Linked DNA regions of Astyanax mexicanus. The protein of the gene in region 3 purifies or fractionates together with the protein of the main gene of each other region. This does not show direct contact. Links are inferred from orthologs where the notes say so. Each region holds a gene or a part of one and is shown on either strand. Other genes may lie near its edges.

What was found.
Region 1: the proteins of fbxw7 (region 3) and rbm28 purify together in Homo sapiens (affinity purification with mass spectrometry, with the first as the bait; 3 studies listed by BioGRID). This does not show direct contact. The link is inferred for Astyanax mexicanus from reciprocal best matches to the Homo sapiens genes FBXW7 and RBM28.
Region 2: the proteins of fbxw7 (region 3) and dpm1 purify together in Homo sapiens (affinity purification with mass spectrometry, with the first as the bait; 3 studies listed by BioGRID). This does not show direct contact. The link is inferred for Astyanax mexicanus from reciprocal best matches to the Homo sapiens genes FBXW7 and DPM1.
Region 4: the proteins of fbxw7 (region 3) and yap1 purify together in Homo sapiens (affinity purification with western blotting; 4 studies listed by BioGRID). This does not show direct contact. The link is inferred for Astyanax mexicanus from reciprocal best matches to the Homo sapiens genes FBXW7 and YAP1.

Annotation. Positions count from the first base shown.
Region 1 is NC_064416.1:15,735,371-15,742,907, forward strand, and holds the start of rbm28 (RNA-binding protein 28), read left to right. Parts: upstream 1-4,533; 5' UTR 4,534-4,795; coding exon 4,796-4,913; intron 4,914-6,390; coding exon 6,391-6,546; intron 6,547-6,647; coding exon 6,648-6,820; intron 6,821-7,537. Other genes in the region: si:dkey-5i3.5 (transmembrane protein 53), read left to right, coding at 542-1,032, 1,946-2,307. UniProt on the Homo sapiens protein: Nucleolar component of the spliceosomal ribonucleoprotein complexes.
Region 2 is NC_064420.1:35,198,676-35,206,386, forward strand, and holds the start of dpm1 (dolichol-phosphate mannosyltransferase subunit 1), read left to right. Parts: upstream 1-4,697; 5' UTR 4,698-4,745; coding exon 4,746-4,876; intron 4,877-5,795; coding exon 5,796-5,895; intron 5,896-6,189; coding exon 6,190-6,223; intron 6,224-6,377; coding exon 6,378-6,454; intron 6,455-6,559; coding exon 6,560-6,585; intron 6,586-6,726; coding exon 6,727-6,822; intron 6,823-7,352; coding exon 7,353-7,421; intron 7,422-7,514; coding exon 7,515-7,629; intron 7,630-7,711. Other genes in the region: collagen alpha-1(XX) chain, read left to right, coding at 132-167, 264-330, 498-686, 1,644-1,721, 1,870-2,028, 2,113-2,141. UniProt on the Homo sapiens protein: Transfers mannose from GDP-mannose to dolichol monophosphate to form dolichol phosphate mannose (Dol-P-Man) which is the mannosyl donor in pathways leading to N-glycosylation, glycosyl phosphatidylinositol membrane anchoring, and O-mannosylation of proteins; catalytic subunit of the dolichol-phosphate mannose (DPM) synthase complex.
Region 3 is NC_064432.1:20,344,209-20,351,825, forward strand, and holds the start of fbxw7 (F-box/WD repeat-containing protein 7), read left to right. Parts: upstream 1-4,615; 5' UTR 4,616-5,027; exon of another isoform or gene 5,028-5,041; intron 5,042-7,617. UniProt on the Homo sapiens protein: Substrate recognition component of a SCF (SKP1-CUL1-F-box protein) E3 ubiquitin-protein ligase complex which mediates the ubiquitination and subsequent proteasomal degradation of target proteins.
Region 4 is NC_064416.1:3,554,713-3,562,096, reverse strand, and holds the start of yap1 (transcriptional coactivator YAP1), read left to right. Parts: upstream 1-4,377; 5' UTR 4,378-4,901; coding exon 4,902-5,102; intron 5,103-7,384. UniProt on the Homo sapiens protein: Transcriptional regulator with dual roles as a coactivator and corepressor. Critical downstream regulatory target in the Hippo signaling pathway, crucial for organ size control and tumor suppression by restricting proliferation and promoting apoptosis.

The DNA.
Region 1 (7,537 bases), on a different chromosome or scaffold from region 3:
TGTTTTTTTTTATCACTGGTATCAAATAATAATAAATAAAGCTCAGATATACCTGTTGTGAGGAAATCTCTTTCTTTACTAAAAAATAGGGAAATATACAGAGACTTAAGCTGAAATAATTGAACATTTGGCAGAAAACCTAAATGTATATATTTAAGACCATTAGTAAATAATCAGCATTAATGAATAAATTAGATGTGAGCATAGTAATAATGAATAAATTAGTTAATAACCTGTTTGTTGCTTTTACAAAAAAAATAACCTGTTGTAATTTGACTGTAATTAAAAACAAAATTGTTTGGTATAGTTTATTAGGCCTTTTAATATATTTGACTAAATATTAGTGGTTGACAAATATTCTGTTGATTCCCACAAACATATAGCGTTACATCTTATTATTTTGTATCTTATTATTTTTGCAAACCATTTAGTTTCATTGTAGGCACATTTAATCAAACAGTATACAACATAGCTTCAGGAACTGATGTATACATTCCATTAATCTGAAACAGAACCTGCTAACCACTTTGTTTTTCTGCAGGTCCTCCACTGTCATGTCCTCCAGGAATGTAAGCTTCAATGGGGTAGCGAGACACACGATCAGGAAGGGCGTTACATTCTATGCAAATGATTCTGTGGTCAACCCTGTAGCTGCTGGCCCACCTGACCAGCCCAGACCTCTTCTGCTTCTTCTGCCATGGTTGGGCTCCAAGCCACATGCCCTGGCCAAGTACTGCGAGATCTACCTCAAAACCGGATTCGATGTCCTAGCTGTGGAGACAGAGGTGGGACGGTTCCTGTGGCCTCGCTGGGGGCTGGAGTACGGGGGCCAGCTCCTGGAGCTCCTGGAGAGTGAACGTTTCGCACAGCGCCCCCTGCTGGTTCACGCCTTTTCAATCGGAGGATACACTTTTGCCCAGATTCTTATTCATATTGCCAGAGATCCCCAGAGATATCAGGGCTTGACCAGCAGGATCAAAGGACAGATTTATGACAGTCTGGTTGTGGGTTCATTGGAGCGGATGGCTATTGGTAAGAAAAAAAAAATCTATTGCACCTTTGTCTTCTGTGCTCTGTAAACTGTGCTACAATCTTAGATCCCCTCATACATTTTCTTTTTCCTTTTCTCTGCTCATTGTCCACTTTTTCTGTGAGTGCTCCTTAGCTAGGGAAGCTATAGTTTGCTGTATGTTGTGGACATTAACAGTCTAGGATGCCCCTAGACAAATTTGGAAGAAGAAATGGCTACATAAAGTGTCTGTAAAGTACAGCAATCTCCAGCCATCTGGTGATTGATACATATTTCAATATATGAGTTACAATATTTTGCAATGCTCTAAACAAGATGATATATAGCTCTGAAAAAACGTAAGAGACCACTTCAGTTTCTGAATCAGTTTATCTGATTTTCTATTTATAGGTATATGTTTGAATAAAATAAACATTGTTTGTTTTATAAAAATATATTGTAATTTAGAGCACTTATTGGTAGAAAATGAGAAATGGCTGAGATGCGGCGCTTTCAGACCTCAAATAATGCAAAAAAAACAAGTTCATATTCATTACGTTTAAAATCAATATTTGGTGGAATAACCCTGATTTTTACTCTCAGTTTGTATGCATCTTGGCATGTTCTTCTTCACCAGTCTTACACACTGCTTTTGGATAACTTTATGCCACTCATGGTGCAAAAATACAAGCAGGTCAGCTTGGTTTGATGGCTTGTGATCACTTATCTTTCTCTTGATTATATTCCAGAGGTTTTCAGTTTGGTAAAATCAAAGAAACTCATACATTTTAAGTCTCTTATTTTTTTTCCAGAGCTGTATATCTTTTTTGTTTTTATCAAAGTGTAAACAGTGATGACAGCTCTGATTGAGCAGCCTGAATTTAACGCATCTTTAATTTAATCTCCGTGTATTCCTCTGTCTTCCTTGCATTCCAGGTGTGAGTCGGAACTTGTTTCCCCGCTGGGGGCCTGTGGTAAAGCATGTCAGCCTGCTTTATTTCTACATGTTCAAACGCCAGACTGTGGACTACTTCAACATGGGCATTGACGCATTCAAGAAAACTCCTGTTCCAGCTCCTGCACTTTTCTTCTACTGTAACAATGATGCACTGTGTGATCCTGAAGCTTTGGAGGAAATGTTGGAACAGTGGGATAAACTGGGTATTTCTGTTACTAGCAAAAAGTGGGTAGAGTCGATCCATGCAGGGCATCTGCGTGCCCATCCTCAGGAGTACATGTCCATCCTGAAAAACTTCCTCTACTCTCTCAACATGGTGCCACTCAAGGCTAAACTGTAAAACATACATACAGTTACCTTATATTCAAGGTGTTTGATGTTTAGAATTTTGTTGAAAACACAATAAGAATTAATTTTAATATTATTGATAAAGTTGTGTGCCTTGACACTTGTTGCCTAACATAATTAATCAATATGAGGCATATGAAACTGTTTGTCAGTTAAAGAGAGGTTGATTATAAAATATAAAAAACCCTGGTGTAACAGTATGCTCAACCGTTATAATACCTCTGTATAGTGTTGTTCCATGTACTGTATTCCACTGATGTAAAAAGTACATTTAGACTTTTATAGTATGTTTTTTATGGTTTATATGTTTTGACATTACTAATGCACATGTATAAGTCTCCTTTTAGGGTTAAATGGTCACTTACAATAAAGAAGAAACACTAAGACATTAATGTACTTAAAAAAAGCTAAAATAATGTGGTACATTTCTTTTTAATTGAATTTATAAGAACTGTATGAAGACCAATTAGTGGTTAAATGTATTGTAAATTAAAATAAATATTTACCATCTCATTAAATGAATTACATAAACTGTGGTGAGCAACAATATAAGTGTACATTAATAATTTACTGCATATAAATATATGCAATGCCTCCAAACAGGAAAAATGAATAATCAAGATTGGCATTTTTTTATTATTATATTAATTGGATGCCATTATGAAATTCAGTTTTCATAATGATGACGGATTTGTGTGGGTGTAAGTGTGTTTGTTAAGAGAGAGAAGTTCACTGTATGCAATATGATCTTAATCCGTCCTCTTGTAGATTATAAACTGGAATAGCCTGTTCCTAATATTAGGTGTCTGCAGAAACAGGGTTGCCAGGACCAGGAAAAATATTCAACCAAAAGAGAGGTGAAAATCAGTACAACCGTGTCTAATAATTAGTGTAAAATGTGAATTTGTTAATTAATTAATTATTTTCCATAATTGAAAGCACATTAAAGGCTCGGGATATTAAATACTTACACTGCAGTTCTAGAAATAGAACTACTCTAGAGTTTGTATTTTGAATGGCAGAAGCAGAAATGGAGGGAATGGCTAATTAATCAATTAATAGAAAGATTAATTGCCAAATTAGTCCACCTAACCACATAAATGATCATTAGTTATAGCGTAAGTTTTCACAATTTCACAAAACTGTTGATTCATTATGACCCCAGTTATCTTATTTTAAATTAGTCACTTAATTACTTGTTCTTTTTAACCCTGTTAACTTTACAGATTACTTTACTCAATATACTTTAGACAATTTGGATTCATGACTGGGTGCCTTCCTGCCTCAGAATCTAAACTTCCAGCATTCTAATGACTCTTAATATATGTACATTTCAGAGTGAAATAGACAATATTTACCAAGTTTTAAAGGAAAGATGCAGCAGATCCATCCCTGATTGTGGAAACTCTACACTAGACCTCAAGCAGCTTGGACTGTGTGTCTCTCCACTCTTCCTCCAGACTCTGGGTCCTTGATTTCCAAATGAAATGTAAAATTTACTGATGATCAGTGATGGTTTGGAGAGACATGTCATCTGCTGATGTTGGTCCACTGTGTCATATTAAGTCCAAAGTCTGTGCCATATTTTCCTGAAAAATCTTACAGCACTTCATGCTTCCCTCTGCTGACAACTTTTATGGTGATGCGGATTTCATTGTTTTTAGCAGGACTTGGCACATTGCCCACTCTGCCAAAAGTATCACTTGGTCTTATATAATATTCTAAGTTTAGGAGACGCTGATTTTTGAGTTATCATTGGCTGTAAGCCAATTGCCAGTGGTCAGCAATTAAGTTTGGCTGTGGGCCAGATATTTTCCAAGCCATTATGTGGCGGGCCACAAAAAAAATTGAAAATGAAGTGTAATGGGATGGAGTGCTACAGACCAGTTGCTCTCCAGCCCAGAGGGTTGTTGAACCTAATTGCAGAACAGTTGAATCCAAAGCAGGTAAACCCAAGAAGAAAAAATAAATAAATAAACGCAGAAGCATTTGATATATTTTTTATTATCATTCATTATAATTGAAACAACCTCACATAACAACCTCAAAATAAATCAACGCTTAAAATACGTTGCGTAGTACATCTATATAATAGATAAGGTTCACATTTTGAGCTGAAATAAAGTATTTTTTCAATTATATTTTCTTTTTTGAGATGTATTAGTATGAGCTCTGTAGACCTCCAGGCGTGTGGGGGCGCTGTTCCTCAGCAGCTCCACATTAAGATGTGGAGGTATCCGGTGTGGTTGGAGAGAAGCATGTCAGCCCTGTAAGAAAACGTGTGTTTACAGGTTTCAGGGCTGGAGAACTGAGCGGAGCTGCTTATTATAATAATAAGTGTAGTACAGCGAGGCGCTGGCCGGGTCTGGCCGCTTCAGCGGGCTTAACTGCGGGGAGCGGAGGAGTATATTATACAGAGTTTAGAGCTGCTGCTGCTGCTCTATGTGCTTTAGTAGCTCTATAGAGTAAATCTGATCAGAATGGCTTCACTCACTTTATTCGTGTCTAATTTACCCGCTTCAGCCAGCAGTGCTGGTCTGGAGGAGCTGTTCTCTGAGGTCGGGCCGGTGAAGCGCTGCTTCGTGGTTAAAGATAAAGGTAAGTTTATGAGCTGACGAGGAAAAGAGTCCTGATTTTCTAATGTGTTGTTTAGAGTATTGTGGTGATCTCAGTGAAATAGGGGCCCTCATCAAATATAACATTTATATTCTAGTGGATTCTGTGTTAATATAAAGAGACCCTGAGGTGACATCATGTAAAAATATAGGGAAAAAATAATAATACGTGGCTACGACATATTAACGAGTGGGAACGAAATAAAAGTCGTTGGAACAAAATCCAGGTTGTGGGAACGAGATCCTAATGTTTGGCTACGAGTTATTGGGGCGTGGGAACCAGATCCTAATGTATGTCGACTATTTATTAAGGCGTGAGATCGAGATCCTTATGCATGTCCACGATTTATTAGGCCATTAGATTGAGATCCTAATATGTGGCCATGAGTTATTAAAGCATGGGAACCAGCTTCTAATGCGTATCCACGATTTATTAAGGCGTGAGATCGAGATCCTAATGCATGTCCACGATTTATTAAGCCATTAGATCGAGATCCTAATATGTGGCCATGAATTATTAAAGCATGGGAACCAGCTTCCAAGTTGTGGGAACGAGATCCTAATGTTTGGCTATGAGTTATTGGGGCGTGGGCACCAGATCCTAATGTAAGTCGACTATTTATTAAGGCGTGAGATCGAGATCCTTATGCGTGTCCACGATTTATTAAGCCATTAGATCGAGATCCTGATATGTGGCCATGAATTATTAAAGCATGGGAACCAGCTTCCAAGTTGTGGGAACGAGATCCTAATGTTTGGCTATGAGTTATTGGGGCGTGGGCACCAGATCCTAATGTAAGTCGACTATTTATTAAGGCGTGAGATCGAGATCCTTATGCGTGTCCACGATTTATTAAGCCATTAGATCGAGATCCTGATATGTGGCCATGAACTATTAAAGCATGGGAACCAGCTCCTAATGTGTATCCACGATTTATTAAGGTCTGGGAATAAGATCCTCATGTGTGGCCACAACTTATTAAAGTGTGCGAATGATATCATTAAGTCGTGGTGGAAATAAGTTACTAAAGAGCCCCTAAACCATAAATTTTTCATTAACAGCTGTAATGTGTTTTTTTTTAAAGTACTGAAACATACCAGTCCTGCTTAAAAAAATTATAAACTTTTCTTAACCCTTAAAAAACACTTATTTTGGTAATTTAAAATAAGATAATTAAGGACTGGCCATAAAAGAAGTCCTGCACACTGTTTTCATTTGGATTTATTGGTTTAGCTGTTGTGCAATCATGAAAAAGATTACACTGGTCAACCAGCATGACCATGATGACCAAGTTTCTTGGCTGGTATGACCATGTGAAGATATGAAGATGCAGTAAAAGTATCTTTAGTGTACCAAAATGAGACTAACAAACACACACACAGCTGTCCCCTGTTCCCTGATAGAATGTGGTTTATTTAATTTGTGTTTAACCTGCTCTATTTGTGTTTAACCTGTTCAGGATCAGAGAAATGTCGTGGATTCGGCTATGTTACATACTCCATGGCAGAGGACGCCCAACGAGCTCAGAATGAAATGAAACAGTATGACGGACGCAAAATAACCGTCGTTCCGGCAAAGAAAAAGATTCTTAAGCAAAAACAAGGAAGCAAGAAAGGTATGCATTTTTGTGTATGAAAGTGTATTCTATTTTAGTTTCAGTGTTTATCTAAAGGCTGTTTTCTTATCTTTATTGTTTCTTTTAAAATATTTTTACAGCCCCACAAGAAACAGAAGGTTCCAAAGAGGCAGCAGAAACTGAACACTCTGAAGAGACATCAGAAACCAAATGTTCTGAAGAGGCATCAGAAAAAAAAAGTCCTCAGAAGTCTAAAGGGACCAGAAACAATTCGAAGAAAGCCAGGCTTATCATCAGAAATCTTAGTTTTAAAGTGAGTAATATTATATCAAGTATATAACAATTTATAACAATGTATTGTTAATGTCCAGACAGTCTTCTTTCATATGCTAGCCCTGCATTCACACTGGCAGGAGCTTACACTGTGTGTGGATTTGTACCGGTGTGGTCGCTTAGCACGGAGGCTAATCAAGCAAGCTACCTATTGAGCCATCAGCTACTTTTATTCAGGCTTCATTTTCCTCCAAATTGTCAACACATTGTTGATTACTTTTTGTTTACAGTCAACTCTGGTCTTTTTAATTGTTGTTACCTTCACATAAATACAGGAAAATACCAGCATTTATTTTTTAAGGGATAGACCCCTCTAGTATAAATATAATAAAATCATAGTTTACACATTGTTGCACTGTTTGATAGTGTTTTCAGTAAATTACAGATATTTTTCGTTAATGTATTTAGTAAGCAATTATTAATATCCTTTGAGAAGTGCGGAATATATTAGTTTTACAAACACATTTTTGAATACCGTATTTTATGGACAGGATTATAAGGCGTGGTAAAAAAAAAAATAAGATAAGATATAAGATATATAAAAAATATATATATAAGCCACTTAGGTGACTTAAGCAGCTTGTACCAAATAAAAAAATATCATGTTTGTCCTTCATTAAAATAGTTATTCATTAATTGGAATTGAGACAAAATGCTATATATGTTTTTCCCAGCACTAGTCCGGTAGGAATAGTTC
Region 2 (7,711 bases), on a different chromosome or scaffold from region 3:
TACATATTCATACTGCTGGCAGGAATATTATATTAATTAATAGGCATTTCATAATGTTTTATCACAGTCATGGCGTTCTCAATTTGTAGTATGTAATCTTGTAATTAATAATGTCCATCTCTTTTTTTTAGGGGCTTCCTGGAAGTAAAGGAGAGAGAGGAGAGAAGGTGAGTTAAAGCTGTTGTGCATGGCACCATTGTATATTAAAAAATAAACATTTGATTGTGTTTTGTGAGATTGTTTTATTGTACTTTGTTTTACAGGGAGAGCCACAGTCTCTTGCCATCATTTACCAGCTCGTCACACAGGCCTGTGAGAAGCTAGTGCACAGTATGTGATGACCTCACACTGTCTTTTCTTCACATTTTTTGTGTCTTTATGTCAGAGGTTACAAAGTTAATATGATCCATATAGCATTTATAGTGATGCTTAGATCAGAACTCTTACAGTTCATGCTAGTTCTTACAGTGTTCGTATGTTATGTCACTGTGCTTTAGATGAAGTGCTAAAGATAGACGCCTTCCTAAATGAGATCAGTCGGAACCCCGTGCCCATCCAGGAGCCAGTCGGGCCTCCAGGTGAGCCTGGAATCCCAGGAGGGAAAGGACCCCCTGGGCCCAGAGGCCCACCGGGACGGCAGGGAGACCGAGGAGAATCAGGAAAACCAGGATACCCTGGCGAGCAGGGTGAGACATTATATAACTTTATAAAGATGATTATTCAACATTAAAATAAGTGATAAATCAAAATGTGCAGAATTTGTCTCTTTACACAACACATTAGAGATGAGGCTGCAAAGATAATGCATGTAATGTTAGTAAACTAGTTTTTATAGACACTATTTGACCACTAGTTTAATAGTATATGTACAACGTGCTTAAATTGGGCTGGACAATAATGCAGAATCAAAATATATCCCTATAAAAGATGTTTCAGTAATGATGATTTGATTTTAATACACATTTTTTGTTAGCTGGCAGCTACATGCTAGTGTTTCCGAGCCTAACTGAGAGTAGAGAAAACTATGAATATAATACACATATACACTATTTAACATGTGCAGTAACATTTACCGTATTTTTTGGACTATAAGGTGCACCTAAAATCCTTTACTTTCCCCAAAGATCATCAGTGCACCTTATACTCTGGTGCGCCTTATGTATGAATTTTACTGCTCAGGTTGTAAGGAGCTGGAAAGCCACTTCGCTTAGTTTTTCAGCAACGTTAGCATTAGCTCCTTACCGTGCTAGCTCATTGGCCATTCAGAGGTGAGTATTATTGGCCTGTAGCCTGCTGGCATCCCTAACTAGCACTGCCAGAGCAGCATTAGCATTAGCCGCTAACCACAGCACTAGCTCCTTCGTTGTTCAGAGGTGAGTATATTGAACTGAAGCCTGGAAGTTTACTGTGTTAAAAAAGCGAGTTGTGCGTATATTAGTAATATCGCCCTGCCTTACCGGATCACTCAGGGTTCCTTATTCTAGCTCTGTCCGGTGGCATTAGCGGCTAACCGCTAGTGGTTAGCGAGTAATCCAGCTGGGAAAAACACTTAGCATCGCATATTTCTATCATCAATACTTTTTACAGTCTATGTTAGAAACACTTTTCTTCCCCAGATTCCTAATTCTGCTTTAAATCCTCAGGAAGAAGAGGTGCATCTGGAGCTAAAGGAGCTCCAGGGATTAACGTTCAAGGTCCACAAGGATCAAAGGGTTTTGCAGGTATCTAATGTGAATATAGATCTATAAATGTTTTGGTTTTATGATCTATTTAAAGACATTAGTTAATACAGTTCGGGTATTGACTCCTTCATACTTTGTTTGCCCCTTAACAACCACTGTTTGATTCTGTTTGTGTGTAATACAAAAGGACCCCCTGGAGAAGCAAAGGTAGGGATGCAAGGGCCTAGAGGTGACGATGGTAATCAAGGTGCTCCTGGTCTTCCTGGGCTGGTGGGTCAGCCAGGTGAGATGGGGCCCCCTGGAGCGTGTGACAGTAGTGGCTGCCATCGAGGAGACCCTCTAGCAGGTACATAAAAAGGCTTCCTATACATCATCACATGTCCTACTGTGAATAATGCGTTTTCTCATTACATCTTTAATGACTTTACAGAGGATCCATACTTCGGATACCAGCCTTGATTGGAATAACATTGAGAGAACTGTTTTGCCGATCAGTTAAACACTGAGTCCTGAATCCTGAGTGCTTGCTCTCTCCCAGAAGAAGTAAAAGGGGCACTACTGGGTGGAATAGAGGAAAAATGGGCTGGCATGCAAAGGACATGTTTTAAAATCCCGCTCACTGTGTGACACAGCTGATGTAAACGACATCAGACTTCCAGCTTATCTTCATCTTTTAATTCTCCAGGAACTCTGGTTGCCCTTCATTATGTGTCAGTAATTTTTTTCACTTCTTTTATTTTTGTTTTATGTCTAATTATACTGTCCAGTTCCATGAATCACTAGAGTCTTAAGCAGGACTCATTTTGTGATGTATTAATTTCGATATTACAATAAAGAAGGGTCCCTCGTCATTTCATTTACATTTAAAGGGGAATATAGCCATTTTTGTTGTGAAAAGAGCATCTGTTTACTAAATAATGACAATTTCGCACTGAGAATGTTTTTAAAGCAATTTTATCAATGCTGTGGTTTATTGTGTTGTATTTATATATATATTTTTTAATATGTTGAAGGCATACTACCACTTCTTTGGTTTCCCTGATTTACTGCCTCCAAAACTGACATTTACTGTATAAAAATGTGATGAAAGAAAATACACTGTGATCATATTGTAATGTCTTGCTGTCCTTCATAAGCATAATGCCTGTTCTGTTTGAATCTGCACATTGAATTCTTGTGTTACAATTAACACTTTATTACATTTACTGTATTTAAATGTCTAAAACTGAATTACTGACTGTTGTGTTTTTTATATGTCTAAGCTTTTATAAACCACATTTGTTTGTGTGTGCATGTGTTTGTGTGTGAGATAAAGAGAGAGGGAGAGCACAGGTAATTAGTTATGTACCTATAAAAAAAAACAAATTATATTTAAAAGAAATTAATAAAATGTTTTTTTTTTCATATCACATTTGCCTGTGTCAACACATTTTCCTGATATAAATATGTAACAGAAATGTATATAGACCTGTTCTGTTCTGTATATGAAAGTGAATACATGAGAATAGAGTAAATGTTATCAGAGATATTAAAATAGACGCTGTTAAGAACTATTTAAAATAATTAATTTATTTTAGACCAGAGCTGCCCGAGCGTGGCCTGATACCCAACCCAAACTCAGGTCGACATATCCCACCGCTTTCCTTGGATCCTGTCGGGTGGGGCTAAAGAAAACTGTCTGTGACGTAGGCCTACTTTTATTAATGTTATATATTATTTTATATAAAGCTATGGCTTTATAATCACAATATAGCAAAGTTACAAATCAAACTCTGATCGTAAAAAAAGGTAGACAGGTGTGAGGTCCCCAAATTTGTCGGCAATAGACTTCATTTGGAGCTCCATTCTTAACATATAGTTTTTTTTACAATAGGCCTACTGTTTTTCCGTGTTGCACTGTTAATTAACATCACTCTGAATAGATTTCACTCATTAAGACAACTCAGAATCATAGGTAAAAAGATTTAGCACTGTACATACAAAAAAAATATGCAGTCAAGCTTTACCAATAATTGGCAATGAGTCTTTCACATATCTGTAAAGAAATTGTGGCTCGCTCTTCTTTCCAGAATTGTTTTCCTTCAGCCACTGAAGGAATATTTACCCAAGTCCTGAGGATATTCAAGATGTTTTTTTTGGCAAGTGTGAGATCGGCCCCTGTGTTCTTTTTGGTCAGCAGTGTTTTTTGCCTTGGAACTCCCATGGAGACCATTTTTGTCCAGTCTTTTTCCTATTATTGAATCATTAACACTGACCTTAACTAAGGCCAGTGAGACCTGCAGTTCTTTAAATGTTGTTCTGTGTTCTTTTGTGACCTCCTGGATGAGTCGTCCATGTCCTTTTGGAGTAATTTCAGTTGGCCGGACGGCCACTCCTAGGAGGGTTCGACATTGGACCATGTTTTATCCATTAGTGAACAATAGCTCTCACTGTGGTCTGTATTAGATTTTTTTCAGATTGAGATCTTTTATCCAGCTTCATTTTGTCAGACAGTAATGAGGCCTGGGTGTGGTTAGTGAAACTGAACTCAGCTTTCCACAATGTGTGAATAATCACAGTTAATTTATGGGGGGGGGGGGGGGGGGCAAACAATTTTTCACAAAGAGCTGGATTGTTTTGGATAACTTTTCCTTAATAAATAAAATTAGAATTTAGAAAATACTTTTTTATATTTACTGAGGTTATATTTGTTGGATATTAAAGTTAGTTTGATAATGTTAAAAATGCAGTATGACAAAAGAAAGAGAATCTGTAAATCTGTAAAAACTCCACTGTAGAATAGTACTATTTCTCTTGCATCATTCATAAACTTCCCTATTCTGTTGAGTGGGTTTAGATGGCCGGTTCAAAAAGAACAGTAATATTAATTTCCTATAACTTCCAAAATCACATTAAGCAGATAACTACACAGGCTTGTCTGATTCAGAAATTGTTTAGTAGTCTGTTCTCAGCTACAGCTGTCCCGGAACTCAGCCCTGGACTGAGTGTAGGAACTAAAAGCGGGAGCGCGGGTTTCACCGGGCAGCTGTCCGCGCGCACATCCGCCGTGTAGTTCTGCCCAACATGGCAGGATCTAAGAGTAAGAAGAAGAACAGAGAGGAGGCTGATAAATACTCCGTCCTGTTACCGACCTACAACGAGCGGGAGAACCTGCCCCTGATCGTTTGGCTGCTGGTGAAGTACTTTGGGGAAAGGTGAGTGTTAATAGGAGGTGGAAACAGAGCTAATGCTAATGCTAGCCGGCTCAGAGCTGCCAGATAAAGATGAGCTGTCACTGAAGTGCTGTTTACACTCCTCAGCTAAAACACAGCTAATAAAACTCTATATCCATTATTATTTCGACTTCTGCATACTTCACACTTTGAGATTTAACATAAAAACATAGTCATTGAGAGTATACAATTATTATTAGATGAATTGTGGAGAAACCTGAGATAAATTTACAATGGGGTGTTGTGAGAATAAGGTCTTTAAATACATATTAGTTAGTATTTGCATCTCAAATAATTTGAATATTATTGGAAAGTTGTTGATGATTATGGCTTACAACCAATGAAAACCCAAAAATCCGAGTCTCAAAATCAGAAAAATTAGATCATATAAGACCTATTGGTACTTTTGGCAGTGTGGGCAATGTGCCAAGTTCTGCTGGAAAATGAAATCTGCATCTCCATTAAAGTTGTCAGCAGAGGAAAGCATGAAACCATTTTCTGGGAAAACACTGCACTGACTTTGGACTTGATATAACACAGTGGACCAACACCAGCAGATGACATGGCTGTCTAAACCATCACTGATCATCAGTACATTTTGTATTTCATTTGTAAGTCAAGGGACCAATGTCTGAAACAAGAGTGGAGAGACACACAGTCCAAGCTTCTTGAGGTCTAGTTTAAAGTTTCAGTTAATCAGTGACGGTTTGGAGAGCCTATATGTGCTCACATTTAAACACACAAACTTTAAACACAATTGTGACATTGTCCAGCTGTAGTGTAGGATTATAATGTATGATTGTAGTTATAAATATAATGTAATCTAATCTAGTCCATTCCCCTAGTTTCCTATTTATAGCCTAAAACTAAAGCCCTTCACTCTCATTTTAATTTTGTACAGTGGATACAACTACGAGATTATAGTCATCGATGATGGAAGCCCTGATGGGACACTCCAGATCGCAGAGCAGTTACAGAAAATTTACGGAGAAGATAAGATTGTAAGTTGAAGTTTATATCTGGGTTGTGTGGTGGGCTTATGTCATTAATACTTGTAGCAGAAATTAACAATACAATACCCTTTCTTTTGATTTACTGTCACTGGTCATTTTTATAAGTCAGTCTGTGACATATATAGTTATATGCATCTGTTCAAATATTGTACACTATTGCACATATACATGGTTTTTAAATAATCCTCACTGCTGTAGAGTATGAGCTTTTTAAAAATGAAAATGTAATATTACTTATACTGTCCTGAGAATCTAATCAAAGTGTGTGTTTCTTTCTTGAAGGTCCTGAGACCAAGAGAAAAGAAATTGGGTTTAGGTGAGCCAAAATACATTTTTCTTTTTCTTATTGGTGTGACATGCATTTAGATTAATTTGTTAAATTCTGTTAAATTTCTGTAGCAAGTGAAAAGTGGGTTTGAGGTCTGGAGAGAAAACTAAATTGTGTTTTTTCTTTCAATTATGTTTTTCAGGAACAGCATACATCCATGGCATTAAGCATGCCACTGGGAACTTCATTATTATTATGGATGCAGATCTTTCTCATCATGTAACTAAATAATTGCTGCTATTTTCTTATTGTTCTTTATTATCTGATATCTTTTTTAATTGTTTTAGGCAGTGCATAAGTTAACTATTTCTTCTTTACCTGCAGCCCAAGTTTATCCCAGAATTTATCAAGTAAGTAAAAACTACTGTAACGTTATGCATGTTTAAATACAGAGATCTATTACTGAACTAGTTTGACCTGTATTCCAATTGTTTTTTTGTGTGTTTCTGTATTTCTGTGCTGACCACTGGAATTTTTTTGTTGTTGTGTAGGAAACAGAAAGAAGGAGGATATGATCTAGTGTCTGGAACACGGTACAGAGGAGATGGCGGTGTGTATGGATGGGACCTGCGGCGAAAGCTCATTAGGTAACTAATTAATAACCTGTGTCCTACACCACTCTGTTTTGTGCCCTCCCTTAAATATTTGTTAAACCATGTTGCCTATTAACCATATTGAAGCTGAGTAGCCAAAACATGTTTGAAATGTTTCAAAAATGATTAATTATTTTAAAAAGCTTTAATGACAGACCCTTATTTAGACACTGAAGCTAAAACTAGAACTTCACTATCTTCAATCAGAAAACTTGGTACTGTTATGCTTTAAAACACTTTAAAATAACTATTGGGTGCATTTAAACTTGGGCTTGGCTTGGCCTCTTCCAGATATAATCCTGATACTCACTTTTAAGCAAAGATTAGATGGGTTACCGTCTCTGTTAGGAACATTAGTTTAGTTCTTTCTGTTATAAGCTAATAATAAAAACATGGCTTTGAATTATTTGCTTCCTCATAGGTTAAAACTGAGTAAGACTAGCCTGAGTAAGACTAGCCTTTTAAAAGTTTTAAAAATATCATTATATGGTCTCATTTTCTTCCATGCTCTTACATCTCTCTAGCCGTGGGGCAAATTTCGTCACACAGGTGCTGTTGAGGCCTGGAGCATCAGATCTGACAGGAAGTTTTAGGTATGTGGTACAACATGGTATTATCATAATTACTGATCTCTGTGTAAACAGCAGGATGTACTGTTGCTTACAACGATTGTTTTATTTTCTCAGGCTTTATAAGAAGGATGTGCTGGAGCGTCTGGTAGAGCGCTGTGTGTCTAAGGGCTATGTGTTCCAGATGGAGATGATTGTTCGTGCTAGACAACTAGGCTACTCCATTGGGGAGGTCAGTCCACCTGTACTTTACATTACATGGTTATTTTATATCTTGCTTTCATATTGAACTGAACTATACTGTTATCAATTTA
Region 3 (7,617 bases):
TTCTGAAAAGTGCGCTCAAACCTGGCTGTCATGTTGGGAATGGTTGAGGAAAGTAAACAGGTAGAGAATACCATGATCTGTAGATAGGAGAGCACAGTATGCTGAGCCTATTGCTCACCTGCTGCTCACCTGCCACTCTTCTGCCGCTCTCCTGGCACTTACCTGCCACTCTTCTGCCGCTCTCCTGGCACTTACCTGCCACTCTTCTGCTGCTCTCCTGGCACTCACCAGTTGCTCACCTGCCACTTTTCTGGCACTCATCTGCCATTCTTCTGGCACTCACCTGCTGCTCATCTACTGCTCTTCTGGCACTCATCTTTTGCTCACCTGCCACTCTTCTGCTGCTCTGCTTACACTCACCTGTTGCTCACTTGCCGCTTTTTTGGCACTCACCTGTTGCTCACCTGCCACTCTTCTGGCACTCATCTGCCACTCTTCCACCACTCACTTGCTGCTCATCTACTGCTCTTCTGGCCCTCACCTACTGCTTAACTATTGCTTATCTCATTTGGTGATATCTCTTCTGGTACTCATTTGTTGCTCACATGGCACCCTCCTGCTGCTCACCTGCTGCTCTTCTGGCACTCACCTCCTACTCCTTTCTAACATAACCCGAAAGCCAAGAGTATAAAACGTAATAGAAATTAATATTAAGGACCTGGATAGATCAGTAATTTGGTCATTTGTTCCAGCTGTGAAGTTGCTTGCAATCTTTGTGACCTTTGGGTGGATTCACACTGTCCTGTTGAGTCTTTTCCAGGAGAACTTCGTCATTTATAGTGATGGGTAACAGTGGGGAACGAGTAAGATAATTGTAAAGTGTGTGAAGTGGTGCAGAAGTGGAAACATTGAAGCTAGAGGGTTGTTCACTTACAGTGACAGTAAAGCTGTAACCAGCAGATGGCGTCATTGTGAAAGAAATAAATGGGCACAATTTTTCAATGGTTTATTTTATGGCCCACACTAAATAAAATACAGTACAGTATTGTGTGTATAGGCTTTTGTGTGTATAACATTCTGAAAATGTGACATAATTATGGTTTGCATCACAACATTATTAGACCATTTTTTACATTACGTTCCCAGCTAGACAAATATTAACGGAACGGTAACATCAAAAGTAACATTCACAAAATGATAAACATAAATGGTGACATTACCATGTTTTAAAACGTTAAATGACAATGTTCAAAAGATATTAAAAAACTTAACAGATTGAATATCCAAAGAACTTTAACTGTAACATTGAGAAAACATTCTACTAGCCAAAAATTGGTGCTTCAAAATTCATATATTTAACCTATTGTTAGTGAAATGGTAAAAACAGGAGGAACATAGGAGGGAAGCAGCATTTTTTGTTGTCACTGAGAAAGAAGTGAGGTGAGGGGTGGAGGAAATTATAATTAACAAGGGTTAGAGCTAAACTTGAAGACTGCAGGTTTTTTTTTTTTATCTTTTAGACCTGTGCAATTGGCCCTCCAGCATCAACTGGCTTGGTCATAATGTTTTGGCTCATCAGTGTACATAAATTCCATGAGAGACTGTGTTAGGAAATGTATTTATAATTGTCTGTATGAGGAGTTTAAATTCCTCACATTCCTCCTTTTTTTAGGGTCTTGCTATTCCATGACATCACAGGCTTCCTCTGCTCCCCTCCCTCCAAGCATCTGGTAAAAGATCGGACTAGAAAAGCAGGTTGTCTTCCAGGAAGGAACTTGAACCTCGATCGAGCGTCAGTGTGAGCCGAAGAAAGAGAGAGAGAGAGGTGAAGTTTGTGGAGGGTGAACAGGTCCGGCTGCAGGGAAATGTTCTGTTCTGTTTTTTTTTTTTTTTTTTTTTTTGTAGTTCTTTGTGTAGCGATAGCACTGAAAAACAGAACCAGATGGAACTCATTTGTTGTAGTTGTCCTCTCCAAGACTTTTCTGCTCTGTCTGGCATTCACTCGCTGATGTCTGATATGAGTTTACAGTATGTGTGGTGTGTGTATATGAGACTATACTACTATGGAATTTTATTTTAGCTTTTATTTAACATTTTTTATGGTCTTCATTAGGAATCTTAATGTAGATTCACTGCTAATGAAATAGTTTCAAAAATAGTTGCATTAGAAAAAAAGTGTGGGATTGTAATGCTATTCAGAAGGAAATTAAATGGGCAATATTTATTCAACTACACATACAGAAGTAGTCTATAATGCATGTGTTATGCAACATGTCAAATGTCTCAGCATGTAATAGAGTTTTCCATAGAGGCTCCTAAGGGTGTCAGGGATCGGCAGAACTATGCCCATGGCTCTTGTATCTTTAAGGGAAGCTCTTTAGCAGTATGTGGATGAGGATTGTCCTGTTGGAATAAGTACATAGGAGTGTGTGTTCAGAAAGGTTGGACACCTGTTACAGAAGCTTATTAATGCACCATTGGGCTGTCAAGTGTGTATATTATTTTGTGTGTATAGAATGCCTAGATTTTTTTTTCTCCAAAAGGTCTCAATTTTTTTTTCCACAATTGTTACACATTTTCACTCGGGGACGGATCTGACGATTTGGGTGGCCATGTCACAGTATCTGTGTCTACTGCAGCATTATGTAAATAAGCATTGTCCTTTTGAAATATTGTGTGTACTCAAAAATTTATGTAATTTTGGGCTGTCAAAGTGCCTGTAATCAAAACCAAAGGTGATCTAATACTGTACACAATTGCTAAGGTAAAAGGAAGGCAACATTAGATAACCAACCTGTTTAGATTAGAGGGGTAAAGAAACATCTCCTGTGTGTATAGAAGGTATGTTAAAAGGTACCTAAGATTATTATGAATATTCTTAATTATCCAAAGTCCTGTGCTTTTAAACCTTTTTGCATTAAACTGTCTTACAATGACAATAGTATTGTTTATGGCAATTATCTTTAGGACAATTTATCATTAGAACAAAAACATTCATTGTGACAGGCCTACTGTAAATACTTTGCACTGCTGAAGAGAGAATGAGATGGAAGATGGGTAGAAGGAATTATTTTACAGTATATATATATTTTTTTTCTGCTGGCCTGTCTCTGAATGCTGAAACCCTCTTTTTCCTGCAGGCCAGAGGCCTCCTCTTCAGCCTGGCTTGGCAGGACGCCAGTGTCAATTCTACGCTTCTCAGAAACACATTCTTTGGTGCTTCAGCCTGTTTCTGCTAGATTAAGATACTGAACATGGGAATTAACACGAGACGCCAAACAGCAGAGCAAGTGAGAGAGCCAGGGGAGCGGTACAGTGCTTAAAAAATAACCTCTTTTCCACATTGTTTTACAGCATTTACACCCTTAAATCTAATCCCAGGTAGCAAAGAACATTGAAGAAATTATTGTTGTATTACACCTTTTAATGTTGATATTGAAAAAAAACAACAACACCTATACAACCTTTATTTATAATGGACTCGCCAGTTTCAGTAAATATTACAATTCAGACATTGAATCAATGTTCATATAACAGGATAGGGGATTTGTGGGTGTCTTCTTTATAATAATAATGATGATGCAGTCCCTTTTACTGTTCCAATGCAGAAACAAATATAAGTAATAATGGTAGAATACAAACATCTTTAATGTTCACAAAATGTGAACAAAAATAAATCAGTTTCTAATGAAATTGAAAAATTAAGTTTGATTTAACAATCTTTTGCTAAATGGGCTAAAGCATGTGTGCACACTATGATCAGCCACTGCAAACAAACACACATACTCACACAAACACTATGACTAGTTGACTTAAATGAGTTTTTATGTTACAAGAAATAGTAGAATTTACATTTTAAAAAATGTACATGGATGTGGAACATAATCATCCATCATTTATAATTTATAATTTATGATTTAGAAAAAAATGAAAAAAAAAAAAACACACACACAAAGATTCTGCTTTACATATTTACTGTTTGGCAAACAAGTATTATCATTTGCATCAAAATGTTTAAGACAATTATCACTCTATCTTTCTTTCTGAGTTTAGTTTGTTCCCTTAAATGTGGGTCCACGTGCATCGTACATCACAACCCAGCGACTGCAGGTTGGGGGGAGGGGGGCGTGGTCGGGATCTGACCGACATCATCACTGTGAGCCTGAAGCTCTGGAGCTTGTCGAGTGATGTTTCAGTTTGATTCAGTTTAACGAACCGATTCTATTGTCGGGGTTGGGTTCGGTGAATCGATTCTATCGAATCGTTTTCGTTCCCTTCATTCAGATGGCACACAACATAACAAATGAGCAAAAGACTACGAATCAAAATCAAAGATACAAACAAACAAATGTAAAAATATATTGTATACTTATATTTCATATATATTTTATATATTTTCAGATTTGAGCAGTGAGTGTAAACAACTGCAAAAAAAACAACAAGCACAAAAGCATTGCCACACAGCCACTTAGCTAGCTTAGGGTAATTTATGGATTGTAACCTATGAAACATACAAAAATATTCTCTAAGCTAAGGGTTAACTATTTAGTCAACTTTTACTCTCGAATCGGTTCTTTTATTTAGAACCGCACCAGCCGGTTCAAATGGGCCGATTCGTACACACGACTCGTTCATTGCTTCAGTGTGGGTCTCGCTCTCGCGCTGGTTCGTGTATGTGTGTGTTTGTGTGAGAGTCGCGAGCGCGGAGCCTGCGGGATTCTAGCAGCACTGCACGCGGCGGAGATCAAAGAAACTCCCAATAAAAACTAACTACACTCCTCGGGAAGAGCCGCTCGAGCGCGGAGCAGCCTGAACCGGGAACGTTCGCGGTCGGCGTCCTAAACGCTCAGAAGAGGCGTTGGGTTTTTTTTTTATATTAGCCAGCACGCGCCGCTTCGGCTAGCGAGCGTTGCCTAGCTACGAGTCCCAGAGAGTGAACGCGGGGGACCGCGAAGTCGGCGCGAGAACCACCGGTACCGCGAGTCGCTCCTGGGCTGAGAGGAGACCCTGAAAACAACAGCGGGAGCAGAAGTCCGGGAAAAGCGAGCCGCTAGGCGCGCGGCGGACTGACGTAGCTTCGCTCGAAGGTGAAAACAGCCCGGTCTGTTTGTTTCTGTTGGTCAATTGTTGCTTATTGTTGGTAAATATGAGTGTAAGAAGCTGGCGAGGGACACTGCGAGCTGAGAGAGGCGAAGCGAAAAGCTAACTAGCTAGCCCAGCTAAGCTAATAGCTAATCGTTCATGCTAACGGAGAGAGGAGAGCGGCTATATTAGCCTGTGCTACCTCTGGGTAGCTAGCTAGCTAGCCAGTTAGCTTAGCATACCTATCTAATACTAGCTGTGTTGGCTGGTTAGAAATGTCTTTACTTCAATTTAAATGCACAATATCGTTAAAAGGCAAGCCTGGCCGTTTCAAAACCAAACCCATGTCATAAACGTATATATACTGACTTTGTTTCATAAGCCAAGTTTGCTTAATCTAATTTATCTCTAATGCCAACCATGCTAGCTGAAACACTCACTCCATAATTCCGCTATTAAAAGACATTGTTTAGTAATATTATCAGGTTTACATCTCTAGGTAATATCATTATTCTGACTAGACCTAATGTAATTTTATTATTCATATGTTACGAAGCGTTAAGTAGCTAGCTAAAGCTAGCTAACTAACCTACATTTGATTTAACGTTACACTTAATCTGAATCTTATTTTTGCTTAACCATAATTAACCACATACTTCTGCTTAACTAATAAAAATGTACTTGTAGATATCTACAATTACTTTAGTAAGAGTAGAAATAGTCATTTTAGATGTATCCCCTGTAACGCTGAGCAAAAAACTATTGCTGCACTTTAAACTTTAAAGCCCATAACATGATTGTTTTTATTAGCTTGTTTTGTTTGCAGTGTTTGTAAATAGGTTTCTAGGAACATGAGGCAAAAAAAAACAAACTTTTCCTTAAAAAATGTTACTTTCCTTGTTGTTTTCAAACAAAACCACTTGAACTGCATAGTCTGCCCAGGCCAAGCAGTTCTTTAGGGGTTGAGAGTGAAGGAGAGGTGGCTGTGGTTGACCGAAGATGAATCTCTTTAATTTACACTATCAACACGTTTGTTTTCTTCATATATTTCAGAAAACCTAACAAGTAATCTTCACGCATTAATAATGTTTTATAAAAAAAAAAACATGATTATTCATTATCCACTTTGCTCTGCATATTAAAACAGGTATGTGTTAATCATAGTTTAACGGTTTAAAAACGTAAAGCCGAAAAATAAAAAAATAAAATAAAAGTGTAACGTTAGTAGTGGAATAGTATTAAAACGTTATATATAAAATATGAATTATAAGGTATCTTAAATAACAATATATAAAAGCAGTTCAGTGTGTTTTTAGCTACAAGAAGTCAGTCAAGGACCATCAGATGATGATCTACCTAGTTTAAAGAATATCAAATTAAAACATAACTGTATTAGATAAGATAAGGTTCAAGAAATATCAAGCATTCGAGTGCTTCATTGACGTCAAATAACAATATTAAATATTATATCATAACACATTGTTTAATCTACACCAAAAACGAGCTTCCAATGTGGAGTTGAAGGCTGCATAAACCACCTCACTACACCGGGAAGCATTTGGTTTTGACTTGGGTTAGCTCCGTGGCTAGATAATGCTAAGCTAACGAGCTTGCTGGTGGCTAACGTAGCCAGCTATTGAGCTATTGCTATAGCTAGGTTAGTTAGCTTGCTTGTATAGCTAGCTGGCTAACCAGAGCGCCATTCTGCTTATAGCAGAAAATGTGCTTCTATTAATTTGGGTTGTTCTTTTTAATCGTTCAAAGCCATGTATAAATGTGGTGTGAAACCCATGGATAGTGGGGGGGGGGGGGGGGGAAGGGGGGTTTTCAGCTTCAAGTTCTGGAGAGAAGGTCTGGCTAGCCTGCTAGTTGGCTAACTACCTTTCTATCTTTAGCTAACTGGCTTTAAGTCCTCTGCCTGTTCCCTGCAGCTGGTGAATAACTCTGGTTTTGAATGCTCTGTGCTGTGAAAAAGCCAGCCTGTGCTTTGGCAGAAGTTTAAATAAAAAAAATGTTCAACTGGATACACACAACCTAGCTACATCTGTGACCTGCTAGCAGCTATCTAGCTGGTGATCCAGCCTGGAGCTACGTGATGAGCGTGGAGTGGCCGGCTTGGAGCGAAAGTTATTAACTATTCAAAGTTTGTGTTTGTTGTATTCCTTCAGTTCTGAGCGTTTGCACGTTTTTAAGGTTATTAAAATAGCGTTATAGCTAACTAAGGTGCACCCAGGGTTAGATATTGAAAGTTAACTTCTAAGTAACTTTCAGATCTTTTTTTCTGGGGTGCAGTAGTGTTCATCAGCTGGAGTTAACTACATAGCTTTGCTAAAATAGTGGTCTAGTCAAAGTGGAAGTTCTTTCTTTGTCTCCACTTGAGGATAATATTTTCCTTAATAAAATAAAGTGGTTTATTGTGGTTGTAATGTTCTGTTATCATTTTTGTAATAAAAATAATCAACTCATTTTAGGTGAAAAGAATTTTACTGCATCATTTCCAACACTTAGGAATTGGTTGTCCAGCATCTTTCTGTGAGTGCTGTACCCTGATTGACCTTACATTTTTCTGCCCACATATGCTGTAAGGAATGACTT
Region 4 (7,384 bases), on a different chromosome or scaffold from region 3:
GCTCCTCCTCAATCCAGCACCTCCAGTGGATGTGTTAAATTACATTATTATCAGCAGCAGCTCACCTGAGTTACCTGAGTTAACAAACCTGCTACTTACAAGATAAGAACTAAAATTAATATTAATTAAAAAAATAATAATATTAATAAAAAGTGCAGTTATCGCAAAAAACATCAATAACATTAAAATGATGAAACTGGCACTCATCAGGACCGCAGCAGAAAAGGAAGAGCAAGAGTTTCCACTGTTGCAGAGGATAAGTTCACCAGAGTTACCAGCCTCCCCTTGTGAAAAGAATTATACTTAAACTATGCTAAAATAGGTCTGTACTTAACCCTTGTGTGATGTTCATATATTTGCAAAATTAAGCAATTTTACATTAAAATGCTTTACACATGCTCGCTTCACCTAAATTGCAAGCAATATAAACAGCTTACATGGTTAATATTTGCCCTTCACCTTTCTTATGTTACATTTCTTTCAAAAAAGTGCTACTCTTTTTTTTATTAGTTTTTTAATAAAATGTAAAAGAAAATGAATTAAACTCAAGATATGAGTAGAAACTTTGTTTAGTTTCAAATTTACAAATGAAGCAATGTTTATTAGCCCTTGGCCAAACAGACTGTATGTAATGTAAATGTGTATGTTATATATAATGATATTTAATACAATTTAAGTATATTTGTGTGAAAAAGTTAATTAAAGTATACATTTAACATCACATTTGAAAAACAAAAGCAACATATCTCATTGCAAGAATTAGCTGATAAAGTTATTTTAATTACACACAACTAAAGCGAACTTTTTTTTTAAGCCTAGTTTTAAGACATAAAAGTTTAATCAGCACAGTTTTCATTTGTATGAGCAACAAAAAATATATGTTTTGCTAACAAATTTCTCTGAAGTATAGTTTTATTGCAGAAATAAAGGCTCCTATGGCACATTTAGTAAAAGTAGTATTATTATAAGAAGCAGTTTTCTAAAATAATACTAAGGTTTTTTTTTTTTTTTTGTATTAAGTACATCACCAGTACGAAATTAGCACAGCCAAATAAAGTATACTGAAATATACTTTATATATATATATATATACTTTAATTATCTGCATATAGTTCAAGTACACTATGATTATATTTAAATATACAGCTTTTTCACAAGGGTCCTAGATAAGGTCAAAGCTTATTTTAGTTACTACATGATTCTTTATGTGTTCCTTCATAGTCTGCATCACTTCACTATTCAGTTACTATGTAGGACTGAAATTTAAGTAAAATTCCAGGTCTCAGGAGGATATTAGTGTTTTACTGAGTGATTAACATCAATGAATGTTAATTTAAGGTTGAATGTTGAAATTATACGTCAGGATAATGTCTAATACTGTTTGTAACGTGCCTGAAGGATACATTTGAAACATTTTAAGTGCAGTCACCGCAAAGACCGTCCAAAAACGTTATGATGGAACTGGCACTCATCAGGACCGCCCCAGGAAAGGAAGAGTAAGAGTTCCCTCTGTTGCAGAGGATAAGTTATTATAGACTGGGGCAGGTCTGGTAGGTGTCAGGCCTCTAGTTATCCTGATCACTGTTTCAGCTCTTCAGTTTATAGAGAGTCTGAAGAGACGAAGAGAATAAAAGAACTGAAAGTATATAAAAGTAAAGTTTCTCTTGGATTCTTCACGCTCTACAGTTATACACCCTCTCTCCCGGCTCAGGGTTCAGGAAGACGGCCTGGCTCGCTCTTTACAAAACGATTTCTGAAAGCGGAGGGAAGGGGGATTAGCATCACAATCATGGGAACAGCATGGAGCACAGCGGAGGCAGAAAAACCATTTATTTCTTTATTTTTAAAGAGCGGCGGCTTTGAAGTGCAGAGCTCTGTTTATTTTGGGTGAATGAGAGCAAAGACCAGCCTGCATGCAGCACCAATTCACATAAAACTCTATAAAACTCAATAAAAATCAGAATAAAACTCTGATTTTCTGCTTTAACACAAGCTTTGTTCTGCAAATGTAAGACCATGTGACCCACCATCACTTATACATACAAATATACATACACGGTTTATGTTTTTAAAAGTTTTTTACGTTTTTTTTTTCATTCATTAAGGCTTTTCAAATAAAATAAACCTTAATAAGGCACTTTTTCACATATTGTAAATAGTTTGATTTCTACTAAAATTAAATTCCAGTCCTTCCAACAAAAATATACAAAAAATAAACAATATATCAACCATTTTATTCATTAAGTAAAATCAGTTATTTTCTTAACTGTTATAATTTATATTTCTTCATTTATGAAGACTTTTAAAATAAAACAAATTAAGGCAATTTTTTTCACATATTGTAAAGAGGTTGATTTCTATTAAAATTCAGTCTTATCAACAAAAATATCCAGAAAAATAGACAATATATCAGCTATTTCCCTTTGTTGAGTTTTTATTGTTAAAACATATATCTTTTTTAAATAAAATAAAGCACTAACTATGTTCTTTAAAATTATGTATATATATTTTTTTTTATTTAAAAATCTGTTTTTATTTATTTGTTTGTTTTTTTGCTTTAGATTTTTTGTAACATTTGAAGCACAAACTGCACCAGAAAATCAACATACTTTAATTAAAAGTAGGTTATTATATCATTAGAGTTAAAGCCACAAAATTATATTTTTCTCCCTTGATAATTTAGGGTTTTTAGAAGTATACAGGTATATGAATATTTACCCTTTTTTTATTTAAATATTTGATTTTTGGTAACATTTGAAGCACAAACTGCACCAGAAAATCACCACACTTTCATTATATCAGTGTAAAATACTATTTTTCTGTTATTCTGTTATTATTTAATGTTATTCTAGAGATTTTTTTAAGAGAGTTGAAGCAACAGGTAACAGGATAACAAAATACACTCCTGTTACATGGCTGGGTTTTGTTTAATCGCTATTTTAGTTTAAAATAAGTAAAGTAAAGTAAGTAAAATAGAATATTTAGATAATTAAACTGGATAAGTTTAATTTTAGCTGCAGTTATAAGAAATTATAAACAACAGCCTGTGGAGTCTTTAAACGCTCCAGTTTAGCCCCGCCCCCTTCTAACTCAGCGGTCACGTGAGAGTCAAAATCCATGAACTGAATCATTCGTTTGAACCGATTCACGAGTGTAAGGGAATGTTGATGTGTTTTATATATATATATATATATATATATAGAAAGACAAAAAAAGAAACTTATGACCCTTAACTCTCACAAAAATAAATAATGCATAAATTATTTAAATAATCAGCATGATTTAAAAAAAGGTGTTTTTAATAAAAGTATCCATAAAAAAACTAAAAAAAAACGGAACAATGAACATTGGAAAAAGTAAAAATCATTAAAAACAAAAAACAGATCAGGAGTCAGGAGGGACTTTTATATATATATTGTTAAGAAAAAATAAAAATAATGTATAAAATAATATTTAATAGTATTAAAAAAGTTCCCTTAGTTTAATAAAATGAGATCAACTGATTTATTAAAATTTAATTGAATCTAAAATGTTCTCCGTTGATTTAATAAATAACTTCCTCAATTCAATACATTATCTCCTTACTTTTACGGTATATAAAGCATTTATAAGTCAATTTAATAGTCCATTACCTTTATTTAACAGCTATTTGATTTTAGCCAACAATTTAATTTTAAACGTTTCATTTGTATTTGTGTGTTTAACCTTTTATATTTTATATATTCTTTTTTACACATTGTTTTTCATTTTAATCTTTAAGGTTTTTTATTTGAGATATATTTTATTTTATTGTTTTGTTATTTATAATATGCTTTAATATGCTTAAAATTGTATGAAAGTAATATTCCATGATGAAAAACGAACAATTTAATTTTTATTCTCTCTCTCTCTCTGAATCTACATCTCTGAGAAGTACATACAAAAAGCTTTTATTACTACTAAGTAGATAAAAAAGAGAATCCTATGTATAACAGAGTGTTACCAATAAACGCACATCACTGTAGTAAATCTGAGTATAAAATAATTTTACCTGATTTTTTTATCTGATTACTGAACATTATATCTCAAAAAACAGTGAAACTAATAGAACACGAATATTCCCCTAGAAGAGCAGTTACTGCAAATAAAAGTAAAAATACTTTTTCATCCCTCTATCCAATCGCTTATTTTTAATTGTATGGTGATAAAATGAAAAATTTTAATTTATTAGGCAGAAAGTTTTAAGTGGCAGCTGGAATAATATATTTTATTTGTTTTGGACGTTTGGTAGATTTGTAAATCCAAGCCGAATCGATTCTTTGAACCGGATCTTTTTGTGAAGAGTCGACTCCTGAAGTGACTCGGAGTTCCTGAAGTCCTGCCCAGAAAGTTGGGAGTAAAGTTTGGGAGAGCAGTGATTTAGTCTCACACTGAACCGAGTCCTGATGTCCGGAGCCGAGAGGAAGAGAGACTCCGGGCTTTTTACCACTTTCAGCCTGAATATTTACTATTTTAACGCTTTAATACAGTTTAATTCGCTGTTTTTATACTTTTAAAACTTTTTTAAACTGGATTTTAACGCAGTAACTGCTGGATAGAGAGATATGCGCGTGCCCGCGTCGCTCGGCGCGTCCTCGCGAGTCCGCAGCAGCAGCAGCAGCGAGTCCGAGTCTGCGGTTCTGAGTTCGGTTCTGTTTCAGTGTTTTTCTGGCTTTATCTCAGCAGAACTCGGGTAAACCCGGGCGGACCGGATCCGGAGGACCTTTATCTCGGTGTTTCCGCGCGTTTCTGGAGTTTACGGGCTGAATTTCCCCGAGTTTTTACACTTTTAGTAAACTTTTCCAGGCCTGCTCCCCCTCCCCTCCACTCCTCCACTCCCGCTGCTGGAGCTTTTTACAGCTGGTCCTAATCTTCTGGCAGTTATGGATCCGGGCCAGCACAACCCTCCCGCCGGGCACCAGATCGTGCACGTCCGCGGGGACTCGGAGACCGACCTGGAGGCGCTGTTTAACGCCGTGATGAACCCGAAGAACGCCGCCGTGCCCCCGTCCGTCCCCATGCGCATGAGGAAACTCCCAGACTCCTTCTTCAAACCTCCAGAGCCCAAATCCCACTCCAGACAGGTAAAAACACACTAAAACTAACTAGAAAACACTAAAAACTGCTTAAAAACACACTTATACACTGCTTAAACTGTTAAAATCGCACTCCAGACAGGTAAAGACACACTTAAACTAACTAGAAAACACTAAAAACTGCTTAAAAACACACTTACACACTGCTTAAACTGCTAAAATCCCACTTCAGACAGCTAAAACACACTACAACTAACTTTAAAACTGCCTAAACTGTTAAAATCCCACTCCAGACAGCTAAAAACATACTAAAACTAACCATAAAACTGCTTAAACTGTTCAAATCCCACTCCCGACAGGTAAAAACACACTAAAACTAACTATAAAACACTTAAAACCGTTTAAAAACACACGTATACACTGCTTAAACTGTTACAAAATTCCACTCAAGACAGGTAAAACACACTAAAACTAACTTTAAAACTGCTTAAACTGTTACAATCCCACTCCAGACAGGTAAAACACACTAAAACTAACTTTAAAACTGCTTAAACTGTTAAAATCCCAAGTGAAATAAAACAATTAAAACTGTTTAAAAACATACTTAAACACTTCTTAAACTGTTACAATCCTACTTCAGACAGGTTAAAACAGCCTGAAACTAACTATAAAACGCTTAAAACAGCTTAAAGCACACTTGTACACGGTTTAAAACTCTGCTAAACTGTTGGAAAATAACTATAAAACAGCCTAAAAACACTGTTTAAAATAGTTTACCACAGTTTCAACTGTTAAAATCCTACTCCAGACGGGTAAAAACTGCCTGAAACTAACTATAAAACACTTAAAACCACTTAGAAACACACTTTTACACTGCTTAAACTGCTAAAATCCCACTCCAGACTGGTAAAAACAATCTAATACTAAGTACAAAACACTTAAAAGAGATTAAAAACACTTTAAAATACTTTACCACAGTTTAGACTGTTAAGTCCACTCCAGGCAGGTAAAAACAGCATAAAACTAACTATAAACAGCTTAAAAACACTGTTTAAAATGTTTCACCACAGTTTAAACTGTTACAAACCCACTCCAGACTCCAATATAAACAGCCTAAAACTAAATATAAACTCATAAAACAGCTTAAAAACACAATTATACACTGTTTAAACTGTTAAAATCCTACTCCAGATAGATAAAAACATGCTTGAAGCATTATAAACACTTTATTTTAAGTTTGGAGTTTACAGCTACAGACAGTCTTTCTTTTTCTTATATAAGCTAAATGTGTTTTATACACACTCGGACTAAACCCATGCATATATTAATTGAGAGAGTGATATAATTTGGTTGTTTTAGTGTTTTTAAATGAGAACTGAATGAAGGAGGGAGGTGTAGAATAGCAGTATTAGATTTAGTGTTGTGTTGAGGAGTTTGGGAGTGTTTTCTGCGCATGCTCACCCCTCCTCCTCCTACTGGGCTGAGATTTATCCAGTTCAGCCTCCTCCTCCTCCTCCTCCTCCTCTTCTCAGCAGATCAGATCACTGCAGGAAACCCTGCGCCTCCATATCTCCACTCACTTCCTCTACAGATACACTAACAGAGCTCCAGTTCAGACTTACAGCAGAAAAACAGCTGATCTGATCTCGTAAGTCATATATATAAATTCAGCTCTGGAATAAAATGAAGAGATCACTTCAGTTTCTGAATCAGTTTCTCTGATTTTGCTATTTATAGGTTTATATTTGAGTAAAATGAACATTGTTGTTTTATTCTATAAACTACAGACAACATTTCTCCCAAATTCCAAATAAAAATATTCTCATTTAGAGCATTTATTTACAGAAAATGAGAAATGTCTGAAATAATAATAAAAAGATGCAGAGCTTTCAGACCTCAAATAATGCAAAGAAAACAAGTTCATATTCATAAAGTTTTAAGAGTTCAGAAATTAATATTTGGTGGAATAACCCTGGTTGGTTTTTAATCACAGTTTTTTTCATGCATCTTGGCATCATGTTCTCTCTCCTCCACCAGTCTTACACACTGCTTTTGGATAACTTTATGCTGCTTTACTCCTGGTGTAAAAATTCAAGCAGTTCAGTTTGGTGGTTTGATGGCTTGTGATCATCCATCTTCCTCTTGATTATATTCCAAAGAAACTCCTAATTTTTAAGTGTCCTCTTATTTATTTATTTATTTTGTCCCCGAGCTGTATATACTTGGGCTGTGTATTAACAAGAGCTTGGCGATACAATAAAAATCACAATATAGGGACTATGATTTAATATATTACAGCATATTGTGATACTGTAAGCGATTGCAAGTGT